2 linked regions of the Rattus norvegicus genome follow. The protein of the gene in region 2 binds, or shares a complex with, the protein of the main gene of each other region. Links are inferred from orthologs where the notes say so. Each region holds a gene or a part of one and is shown on either strand. Other genes may lie near its edges.

Region 1 (5,254 bases), on a different chromosome or scaffold from region 2:
CCGCAGGGATCTGGAGTCAAGAGCTCTAAATGGAAACTGAAAGGCACGCACAGCAGCACGGCATCAGGGCACCTCTGATGGAGCGTCCCTGACCTCTGACCTCTGGTGCAGCGAAGCTGGCTATGTAGGGGACTGACACCCAGCAGGCAGCTGGTTGTACTCCCTGAGATGCAGTTCTAGGGGCCAGTCCTGGCTGCCCCAGGCTCCTTACCTGTTTGTGAGCTTCTGTGGTACAAGCTTTTTTGTAGGGCCGGATCTCCTCAGAGCCAAATCCTGGGATCCACATGTTCCATTGGCGCTCTGCAAAGAAGACACCAGCACAGAGCTGAGGCCCCAGCCAGACGGGCAGTGAAGCTGCAGCAAGCAGCAAAGACAGACTTGGACTGGGTTATACACACGTGGCCTCTGCAGGCCTCTTCACTGCTGTTAACACTGGGTTTACTACACACGCATGGAGTTATGTGTTTCATCTGCATGTATGGATGTGTATGGTGTGCAAGCTTGTCCCCAAAGAAGCCAAAAGAGGGCGCTAGATTCCCCGGATCTGGAGTTAAAGACAGTTAGGAGCCACCATGTGGATGCTGGGAATCAAACTTGAGTCCTCAGGAAAAACATCAAGTATTCTTTTTTTTTTTTTTTTCTTCTTTTTTTCGGAGCTGGGGACCAAACCCAGGGCCTTGTGCTTCCTAGGCAAGCGCTCTACCACTGAGCTAAATCCCCAACCCCAACATCAAGTATTCTTAACCACTGAGCCATCTCTCTAGCTTTTATTTTTATTTTTTAATTTGTTTTTTAATATATGAGAACACTAAACCCATCTTCAGACACACCAGAAGAGGGCATCAGATCTCATTACAGATGGTTGTGAGCCACCATGTGGTTGCTGGGAATTGAACTCAGGACCTCTGGAAGAGCAGTCAGTGCTCTTAACCACTGAGCCATCTGTCCAGCCCCCATTTTTATATTGCGGAGGCAAAGATTAACATGACCTGAGCGCACAGTGACCTCCCTGCCTGTACTAGCTGCGTAAGTGCTGGGATGATGATGCTATGCTGGCTACTGCCTATCTTACTTCTTATGTTTTTAAATCTTTATTATGTTTTTATTTATTTTATTTTTGGCTAGGCATGGTGACAAATGATTTTAGTTCCAGCAGTAAGGAGGCAGAGGCGGAGGCGGAGGCGGAGGCGGGGGCGGGGCGGGGGCGGGGGCGGGGGCGGGGGCGGGGGCGGGGGCGGGGGCGGAGGCGGAGGCAGAGGCAGAGGCAGAGGCAGAGGCAGAGGCAGAGGCAGAGGCAGAGGCAGAGGCAGAGGCAGAGGCGGATGGGTCTATGTGAGTTCCAGGCCAAAATGATCCTTTCTTTCTTTCTTTTTTTGTTTTTCAAGACAAGGTTTCTCTTTGTAACATGCCCTAGCTGTCTAGGGAGGTGACACTTTCTTTTAAAAAAGTGTACAAAAGGGGTTGGGGATTTAGCTCAGTGGTAGAGCGCTTACCTAGGAAGCACAAGGCCCTGGGTTCGGTCCCCAGCTCCGAAAAAAAGAACCAAAAAAAAAAAAAAAAAAAAAAAGAAAAAAAAAGAAAAAGTGTACAAACACACTTCGAGAGAAAAGTTCCACTCAGAAGGGTTTACCTAGACACCACTGTTCCTTTCTATATTTTTACCCTATTTTCATATTTAATTACAACATGAGATTTCTTTTTTTTTTTTTTTTTCCGGAGCTAGGGACCGAACCCGGGGCCTTGCACTTGCTAGGCAAGCGCTCTACCACTGAGCTAAATCCCCAACCCCGGAGATTTCTTTAAATCAAAAAAATACATTGAATACAATATTACAGGCCTAAAAATTCAGCTCCTAACTTGCCCCTAGTTGTATACAAGTGGCCCCTTTATCATTCCTCCATTAGTGTTCCCAGAGCATAGGAGACACGGTTTGTCTTGTAACTCTAGACAGACCAATGACTTAAATCAAACTGGGGTTGTATTATATATGCGTGTGTGTGTATGTGTGTGTGTATGTGTGTGTGTGTGTGCACGCGCGCACAAGTGCACATGCTCCTGTGTGCCTGGGGGTTAGAGGACAGCTGGTGCCTTCCTCTCTAACTGCGCACCTTTTTCTGAGACAGGATCTGTCACTGAACCAGAAGCACATAGTTTTCCAGACAGGCTGGTCGCCAGCAGCCCAGAAGCCCTTCTGCACATCCCGACTTCCTAGGGCTTTGAATACAGGAATGCACAGCCCTGACTTATTATGTGGGTGCATGGAGGTCATCACGCATCCACGGCAAGGGCTCTTACCCACTGAGCCATCTCCTTGGCCCTTAAACAGAAATTTAATGACTTTATGATTGTATGTTACATCTGATGCACATACATATGATGAGAGTTATTGTGTTCAGTTGTAGAATATGCCCATTTTTTTCCAGTTCATCAATATAATCAGTAGTTCTCATAATTACCTTCAAGTGAGACATTATGATCCTCACTTTCTGAAAAGGGAGACAGACTCAGAAATCAAGCACAAAGGTTGTTGTGCAATGGAAAGTGGAGGGATGTTTTAAATCTGATGTCCTGGGGTATCCCCCTTCCATAAAGGCCTTTCTCTCTTCTATTCAGAAGGTGCTGAATGGTAAATTCCAGACCTAAAGGTCTGGTTGTGGCATGAAGGTTTCTCTGACATTTGTCAGAGGTCCTACCAACGAGTTATGAGGCTACTTCAGGGAGAAAGGAAACAACATACCTAGATGCAGCTGGACATCTTTCACCTCCAGGGTGCTGGACTTGCGGTGCCGAGCGAGCTGGCAGGCAGCTGTCACCACACTCTCGATAAAATCATCAGCGATCTGCAGCAGCATCTGGAGAGGTGGAATGGGAGATAAGCCAGTGGCAGGGCAGGCGCCTGCTGCTGGGACAGCGGTGTGCTTTCTGAGTCTCATTTGGCAAGATTTGCTTTCTTTCTTTCTTTTGTTTTTCTTTTTCTTTTTTCTTTTTTTCGGAGCTGGGGATCGAACCCAGGGCCTTGCGCTTCCTAGGCAAGCGCTCTACCACTGAGCTAAATCCCCAACCCCCAGCCCCATATTTTTATTTTCTATTCATCCATGTAGGTGTACGCATATGCCCCATGTGTGAGGATGCCCCAGGAAGCCAGAAGAGGGCACTAGATTATTTGCAGGTGGTGTTAAGGCAGTTTGTAAGGTTCAGTAAATGCTCTTAACTGCTGAGCCATTTCCCAGACCCAGCATCTCTGCTCCAACTCACCACGATGCCTCAACCGCAGGGACAGGTGCCCGAGTCCACCTTACCTCTTCCACATCTTCATCCAGCTGCTCGTTAGGATCCACTTCTCTTACTAGGTCTTGTAACTTCTTCTTGGTCAATACCTATAGTGAATTGAGGAGAGAGTTTTCAGAAGTATTAAGGAAGCAAATCTCATTATGGCTACAGAAGACATGATGTCAAATTGCTGGGTTTAGTCTCGTTCAGACAGCCCTACCTTGTGGTACAGCTATAAAGGTACAATCCAGACAAAAGCTGTCATGGGAAAGAGAGCAAGAGCGGTTTGGAGGGAGAGGGGAATCGTTTAAAGCGGAGGCCCGCGTCCCACTGTCGGGCAGTTTATGCAGTTCCAGCTTTCACCCTCTTCTCTGCATCTGGCTAACAGTTCGAGCTGGGTGTGGTGGGTGGCACAGATCTTTTTTTTTTTTTTTCCAGAGCTGAGGACCGAACCCAGGGCCTTGTGCTTGCTAGGCAAGTGCTCTACCACTGAGCTAAATCCCCAGCCCCAGCACAGATCTTTAATTCCAGCACCAGGTAGGTGGAGGCAGGCAGACACCTAAGTTTGAGCCATCCTGCCCTACAAAGTGAATTCCAGGACAGCTCTGGCTACACAAAGAAACATTGTCTCAAAACAAACTTACACACACACACACACACACACACACACACACACACACACACACACACACACGCGCGCGCGCGCGAGAAACAGAAAAGAGAAGAAAAGAAAATGAAAAAGAAAAATCTAACAGTTCCATGAGGACAACCAGTGTGTGGCCATCTCTGTAACCTAAGTAATGTGGAGCAGCTACAGTTAATCTCCCTCTTCTCCGCGGAAAGGCAATCGCATCTGGATTACATTAAAACATGACGAGGAAGCTCAAGACTCAGCTTGGTCATACACTGCTTGTCTGACTTGATCCTGCTGTAGATCCCAGCATCAGGAATAGAAACAAACAACAAAACGCAACAAACAGTCTGCCCGCCCCTCTATGAGAACTGCACTGCTCCCACAATGCAGCTCTGGTTGTCCTGGGGCTCACTCTGTAGACCAGGCTGGCCTTCGACTGGGATCTGCTTGGCTCTGCCTCCTGAGTGCTAGGATTAAAGGCTTCTCTTTACCGTAATTTAGGGGTATGTTGTGTTTGCACGTGCCACAATGCATATGTAGAAGAGGATAATTTGAGGAACTAGGATCTCTCCTTCCACCATAGATTTAGAGACTGAACTCTGAGTATGAAGCTTGGCAGCATGGGTCTTTACTGGCTGAGCCATCTTGGTGGCCCTCTGTGTCTTTGAGACAGGGTCCTGACTTGCTTTGTAGTAGAGGATGAGGAATGACCGACTTCCCTCCTCCCACCTCCCAAGTGCTGGGATCACAGGCGTGACCACCACACCCACTTTCTCTCTCTCGCTCTTTTCCAGCGGCTTCAAGAGTCAACGCAGGTTGGTTTCTGCTCCTTTCCCAAGCAGCTCAGCTAGTCCTTCGACCCACTTCCTTGAATCGCTCCTCACCCACCCTATGCAGCCTACAAGATCCAAGGCAAAGGTTATACTTCTTTTCTTGTTGCCCTAGAAGGTGGAATCAGGGTCACAGGTTCAGAGAGGGGATCCCTGCTGACATTGACAGCAGCAGTAAGATAAACTACCAGAAGGAACAACTGAAGAGAAGACTCTCATTTTACGAATATGGAAATACAGTACAGTATAGACACTATACTATACTATACTATACTATTACAGATAGCTATGCTGTATAGGTAACTCTGAAATATGTGCTACTGCTGAGTGTGCTGGTTCACTCCTGTCATCCCAAGGCTTGGCAGGAGGCTTGCCTATGACCTGAGGCTGGCTGGGGCTACGCAGTGACTGGGGTTCCAGTCACTCTGGGCTACAGACTAAAACACTAGCTCAACAAAATAAAACCAGAACTCCAGCCACCTGCCATATGAAAGCATGTTATTACATGTGTTTATGTGGA
Region 2 (5,484 bases):
GATGGACAACCCCACACTGTATCTTGAGAAATATGTGAGTGGTCTTGCCGCCTACTTTCCCTTCTAGGGTCAGGGCTCTTCTGCCAGCCTCACCACAGGAGGTCTGCTATCAGAACCGGCTGACAGGGCCTGCTCTCTCTCAGGTGCACGAGCTGATTCCTGCAGTAATGACCTGCATTGTGAGCAGACAGCTGTGCCTGCGGCCAGATGTGGACAATCACTGGGCACTCCGGGATTTTGCTGCCCGTCTAGTGGCCCAGATCTGTAAGCATTTCAGCACAACCACCAACAACATCCAATCCCGAATCACCAAGACCTTTACCAAGGTAAGCACCAAAAATGTATCAGATGATGCAAATCACCCCTTTAGGGCTATCTGTGTGAAAGAGAGCTTCACCCAGTGGAAACGATCCCCGGAACATGGAGCAGAGACGGGATCCAGGGAGACTGGCCCTAAGGGGCCTGAACCTTTATGTCTTAAGACATAGGTTTTGTGTTTAATAGGTGGTATCAATCTTTTGCAGTTAGGGTTTTTTCCTCCTTTTTCCAGATTTATTTATTTATTTGAGTCAGAGTTTCTCTGTGTAGTCCTGCTGTAAGCCAGGCTTGGCTTTGAACTCAGAGACTCACCTGCCTGCCTGCCTGCCTACCTACCTTCTGTGAGTGGTGGGATTAAAGGCATGTGTCACCACTGCCTGGCAGCCTTCTCTGTTTTGAAACAGTGTGTCATGTGCCAAGGATAGCTTTTTTATGTGAGTACACTGTAGCTGTCTTCAGACACACCAGAAGAGGGCATCAGATCCCATTACAGATGGTTGTGAGCCACCATGTGGTTGCTAGGAATTGAACCCAAGACCTCTGGAAGAGCAGTCTGTGCTTTTAACCACTGAGCCAATCTCCAGCCTGAGGATGGTTTTAAACTTCCGATCTTCCTATCTTTACCTCCTGTGTGCCAGGATCAGTCATGTACCACCAGGCCTGGTTTAGCTGTTAGCCTTTCTAAACCTTTTCATCTGGGATTTTCTTCTTTCCTCTACAGAGCTGGGTGGATGAGAAGACTCCATGGACAACTCGATATGGCTCCATTGCAGGCCTGGCAGAGCTGGGGCATGATGTTAGTCTAGGAAGAGCCGGGAGAGGGGCAGTTACACGTGCTGTGGGAGGGGCCTTTGGTGACCTTTTAGCCTGGGATTTTCCCCTTCCTTCCCACCAGGTGATTAAGACCCTAATTCTGCCAAGGCTGCAGCAGGAAGGGGAGCGGATCCGAAGTGTCTTGGACGGACCTGTTCTGAGCAACATCGACCGTATCGGAGCAGACCATGTTCAGAGCCTTCTCCTGGTGACGAACCCCCACCATACCCTCTCCTTCTTCACCCCAGCCCCGCCCTCAGCTCCCACAAACACGGCTACAATGTTTAGCAAGCACGAAGCACATTTTACTTTTATTCTTGAGAGGCCGGCACTGTTGTGCACATGGAAAGCTAGGCTCAAACAGAAAGCCTTGGTAGTCAGTAACTTTTGCACTGCACTGCCTCATCCTGCTTGTCTCACCCTACAGCTCCCGCCACACAAGGCAATGATCACTATATATATCATCAGCAGATACAGGAAATCCTGTTCATATCAGTTGATCCTTATGGAAGGAAATAGTCTTAATTTTCAATGTGTTGACTCCTATAGATGTGATCTTGCTGTATAGCCTTGACTAGTGTAGAACTTGTGCACCATGCTGACCTTGTGGCAATCCTGTTCCCTCTCTTCTGAGTGCAGAGATTACAGGAATGCACCGCCATATCCACTGAAATCATTCCTTTTTATTTGTAAAACATTGTTTTGTATGTGTAAGAATGTGCACCATGGTTACAGGTGCCCACAGAAGCCAGAGGAAGGTGACAGATCTCCTGGAGTCCTAGAGGGTAGTGAACAACTGCCCTCTGAGCGGACACTCTACACCTCTGCTCCCTCTCCAGTCCTCCCCAACCCCCATTCTTTTTGTTTTTCTGCTGGGAATTGGACCTAGGGCCACATGCATGCTTGCACAGCATTCTACCAATGAGCTGTATTCTCCTTGGCCCTCACTTTTGAGATATGCCACCTGCTCAGGCTAGCCTAGAACCCACTGATCTTCCTGCTTCAGCTCAAATGCTAGACCTACAAGCATGAACCACCACACCCAGCTCTGATGCATTCCCTGTAGAACCATAGCTTTTCACTGTGGCTTCTAACAGCAGCAGTGAATGAGCTCCTCTCTCACCTTTGCGGAAGGATTCCAGCCCTCACTCTGCCTCCTCTGCAGAAACACTGTGCCCCAGTATTGGCGAAGCTGCGCCCTCCACCTGACAATCAGGATGCCTACCGGGGAGAATTTGGGTCCCTTGGGCCCCTTCTCTGCTCCCATGTGGTGAAGGCCAGGGCCCAGGCCGCTCTTCAAGCTCAGCAGGTCAACAGGACCACACTCACCATCACACAGGTCAGCTGTGAGGGAGGAGGCTGACAGGAAACATACAGGGACTTGCCACAGACAGCAGTCTCAGGGAACTGGACCCCACTCCTACCCCCAGTGTTAACATTTTCTTCCTGTGTCTCTTCATAGCCTCGGCCCACACTGACCCTCTCACAGGCCCCTCAGCCAGGCCCTCGTACCCCTGGCTTATTGAAGGTCCCTGGCTCTATTGCCTTGCCTGTCCAGACACTGGTGTCTGCAAGAGCTGCTGCCCCTCCTCAGCCTTCTCCTCCTCCAACGAAGTTTATTGTAATGTCCTCATCTTCCAGTGCCTCATCAACCCAGCAGGTATGTATAGCCAGGATGTGAGGAGCACCCTGGGGAAACCTCCAAGTTGTGACCTAATCCTTTCAGGCTCAAACTCATACCGTACTAGAGCCACTTATCAGGATCTTGGAGGCCTCGAGCTAGCAGCAATCTTGACCATGCATTCACTGGGGACTACAAGGGAAGGTGGGAGCAGAGGGCAAGGGCCAACAGCAGGTACCTGGAAGAAGATTCTAGAAGCAAGGACAACCTGACCCAAGGCCCCCCTTTCTCCCTCAGGTCCTGTCCCTCAGCACCTCAGCTCCTGGTTCAGGCTCTACCACTACCTCTCCTGTCACCACCACAGTTCCCAGCGTGCAGCCCATTGTCAAGCTGGTCTCCACTGCTACCACTGCACCCCCAAGCACAGCCCCTGCTGGTCCTGGCAGTGTTCAGAAATACATTGTGGTCTCTCTTCCCCCAACAGGGGAAGGCAAAGGAGGCCCTCCTTCTCATCCTTCTCCAGTCCCACCTTCATCTTCTTCACCATCTCCACTTGGGGGCAGTGCCCTCTGTGGGGGGAAGCAGGAAACTGGGGACAGCCCCCCTCCAGCTCCAGGGACTCCAAAGGCTAATGGCTCCCAGCCTACTGGACCTAGCTCTCCCCAGCCTGCTCTGTGATATTGTCACATGTGCTGACCTCCTCTCTTCTGCAGATTCCTACACACACAAACAACGTGTGAGGGAGGAAGAAGAAAGATGTTTTCCCCAGTGACTTTCTTTTTAGATTCTGTACAGTAAGTTCCTCAGAATAAAAGTTGGATTTGTAACTTTGTGAGCCTCCCTGTGTCACAAAACAGAAGGGGTGAGTCTGTGGAACCTTCCTGTCCAGATCCAAAGTCACAAGAAAGAAAATGCCTGCTGACATTGCTGTCCATATCCTTCTTTGAGGAGATTCAAATCCGAATTACGTAGGCGTTGCTGTGGCTTAGATGTCGAACCCACTTGTGAGGGTTAGCATTACCACAGGCGCTAAAGGACAGTCTGAGGAATCGAACCTGGAGGCCAGAGCATGTGTGCCGAGGGAGTTCAAAGGAGAGGCTGGCAGGACCCAGCCCCAAGGGGGGTGCTGAGGGGGACGGCCCACGGCTGGGAGGTCCCTGCAAGCCAGGGACATCCATCTGTAAGTGAAAGTCAAGGAAGATGTGAGACAGCAGGAGGACTGGGTTCTAGAGAAGGTGTGTGGGGATCAACAGTGCATACCTGGAAAAGGCCAGAGAGTTGAGAACCTCCTTGTACCCGGGGCAGGTCCCAGTGAAGGGCTCCTTCTCCCAGCTCTGCCTTCTGATCTGGGCTGCTCAGTTCCTGAGACAGGCTGGATGGTGGACAGGGAATATGCTAAACTAAGTGGCTGCTTCCTTGGTAGAGCAGAGGCTCTACCCCAGGGAGTCTTCCCAGCAAGCATGCTGACCTGACGACCCCTCGAGGCAGGGGAAGGTGCAGATGAATGTTGAGAGCTTGGCTGCAAAGAGGAAAGAACAGTCAAGCCCAGGGGGCAGTGTCTTACCCTGGGCCTTTCTGTTTGTACTGCTCTTGAGACAGTCAAACAGCTGAGGATGACTTTGAACCTGATTCTCCTGCCTCTGCTTCCTCCAGGCCTAGGGTTACAGGTGTGCACAACCACATTGTTTACGTGGCTGAGGATCAAAGGCAGGGCTCAGTGCTAAGCAAACACTGCACACTGGTCTATACCCCAGCCCCTTCTCTGTTCCTCCATAAGAGAGTGCAGCACAGATACATCCCCGCCTCTAACCCTTCCTTCCCCAAATACCACAACCTCTGACTCAATGAAATTTAAAATTGGTGGATGTGACTGGGTGTTTTGAGATGGGCGTCTCACTGTGAAGCCCAGACTGGTTTCACAACTGGGGAACCTTCTGTTTCAGGCTGCTGGGCTTATAGCTGCACACTGCACACTACAAAGCTTTAGTGAACCTGCCTGGAGGAAAAATTATCAGGTCCTTGGGCCTGTTTTCTGCCCCATACAGCTGAACTGAGTGTGACTAGCCCACATTCATTTTTGTGTTTTGCTTTCTGAGTATGAAGCCCAACCTGGCCTCCCAACTTCCTATGTATTTGAGGTTGGTCCTGGTCTCCTGAACCTTCTATCTCCCAAGGGCTGGGATTATAGGAATATGCCACCATACCCAACTTGACCAGCCCCAACCCTTACCTCTTTGGGGGCAGGTCACACCGTAACTTCAGGTAAACCTGGAGCCTGGAAAAGGTAGCATACAATTACATCATATCCTATTGGCATCCCATGACTGCTAATCCAGGGCACCCATGGGAGGAGACTGGGTAAATTGTACCCCAAGAAGGAAAAGGGCAGAGATCCATCCCAACCACATTAGCCAATACTTTCCCCAACCCACATCCTATCATCTCTACCACGAATAGGCCTCAGATGGCTTGGAGTAGTTAGTTCTAAAACACAGGAAATAGTCTCACCGGCCTGAGCCTTGGTCCCATTGTACAGAGGGAAACAGCCGGAAGGGAAGTGGTGAGGGGAGGTCATCAGAGAGCTGGTATCTCATCACAGTCAGCTGAGGCCAGACAGGGACAGGTCAGCTTGGTCTTTCATTGGTCTTGCCTCCCTCCCCTTGGTGGAGGGAATACACTGGGAACACACCCTGAACCTGACCTCGCCCTGAGGCGGCTGCAGGTGGAGGATC

The links. Proteins that work in one complex are often made in the same cells at the same time.
Region 1: Taf6 (region 2) and Taf12 share a complex: the UniProt entries of both Homo sapiens proteins name them as parts of the TFIID basal transcription factor complex. The link is inferred for Rattus norvegicus from reciprocal best matches to the Homo sapiens genes TAF6 and TAF12.

What each region holds. Positions count from the first base shown.
Region 1 is NC_086023.1:149,765,188-149,770,441, reverse strand, and holds part of Taf12 (transcription initiation factor TFIID subunit 12), read right to left. Parts: intron 3,378-5,254; coding exon 3,300-3,377; intron 2,853-3,299; coding exon 2,738-2,852; intron 301-2,737; coding exon 212-300; intron 1-211. UniProt on the Homo sapiens protein: The TFIID basal transcription factor complex plays a major role in the initiation of RNA polymerase II (Pol II)-dependent transcription.
Region 2 is NC_086030.1:22,167,665-22,173,148, reverse strand, and holds the end of Taf6 (transcription initiation factor TFIID subunit 6), read left to right. Parts: coding exon 1-34; intron 35-143; coding exon 144-326; intron 327-1,039; coding exon 1,040-1,114; intron 1,115-1,213; coding exon 1,214-1,339; intron 1,340-1,414; exon of another isoform or gene 1,415-2,296; coding exon 2,297-2,470; exon of another isoform or gene 2,471-2,593; coding exon 2,594-2,791; exon of another isoform or gene 2,792-3,049; coding exon of another isoform or gene 3,050-3,236; coding exon 3,237-3,524; 3' UTR 3,525-3,579; downstream 3,580-5,484. Other genes in the region: Ap4m1 (AP-4 complex subunit mu-1), read right to left, coding at 3,706-3,930, 4,013-4,124, 4,221-4,271, 4,983-5,027, 5,261-5,355, 5,454-5,484. UniProt on the Homo sapiens protein: The TFIID basal transcription factor complex plays a major role in the initiation of RNA polymerase II (Pol II)-dependent transcription.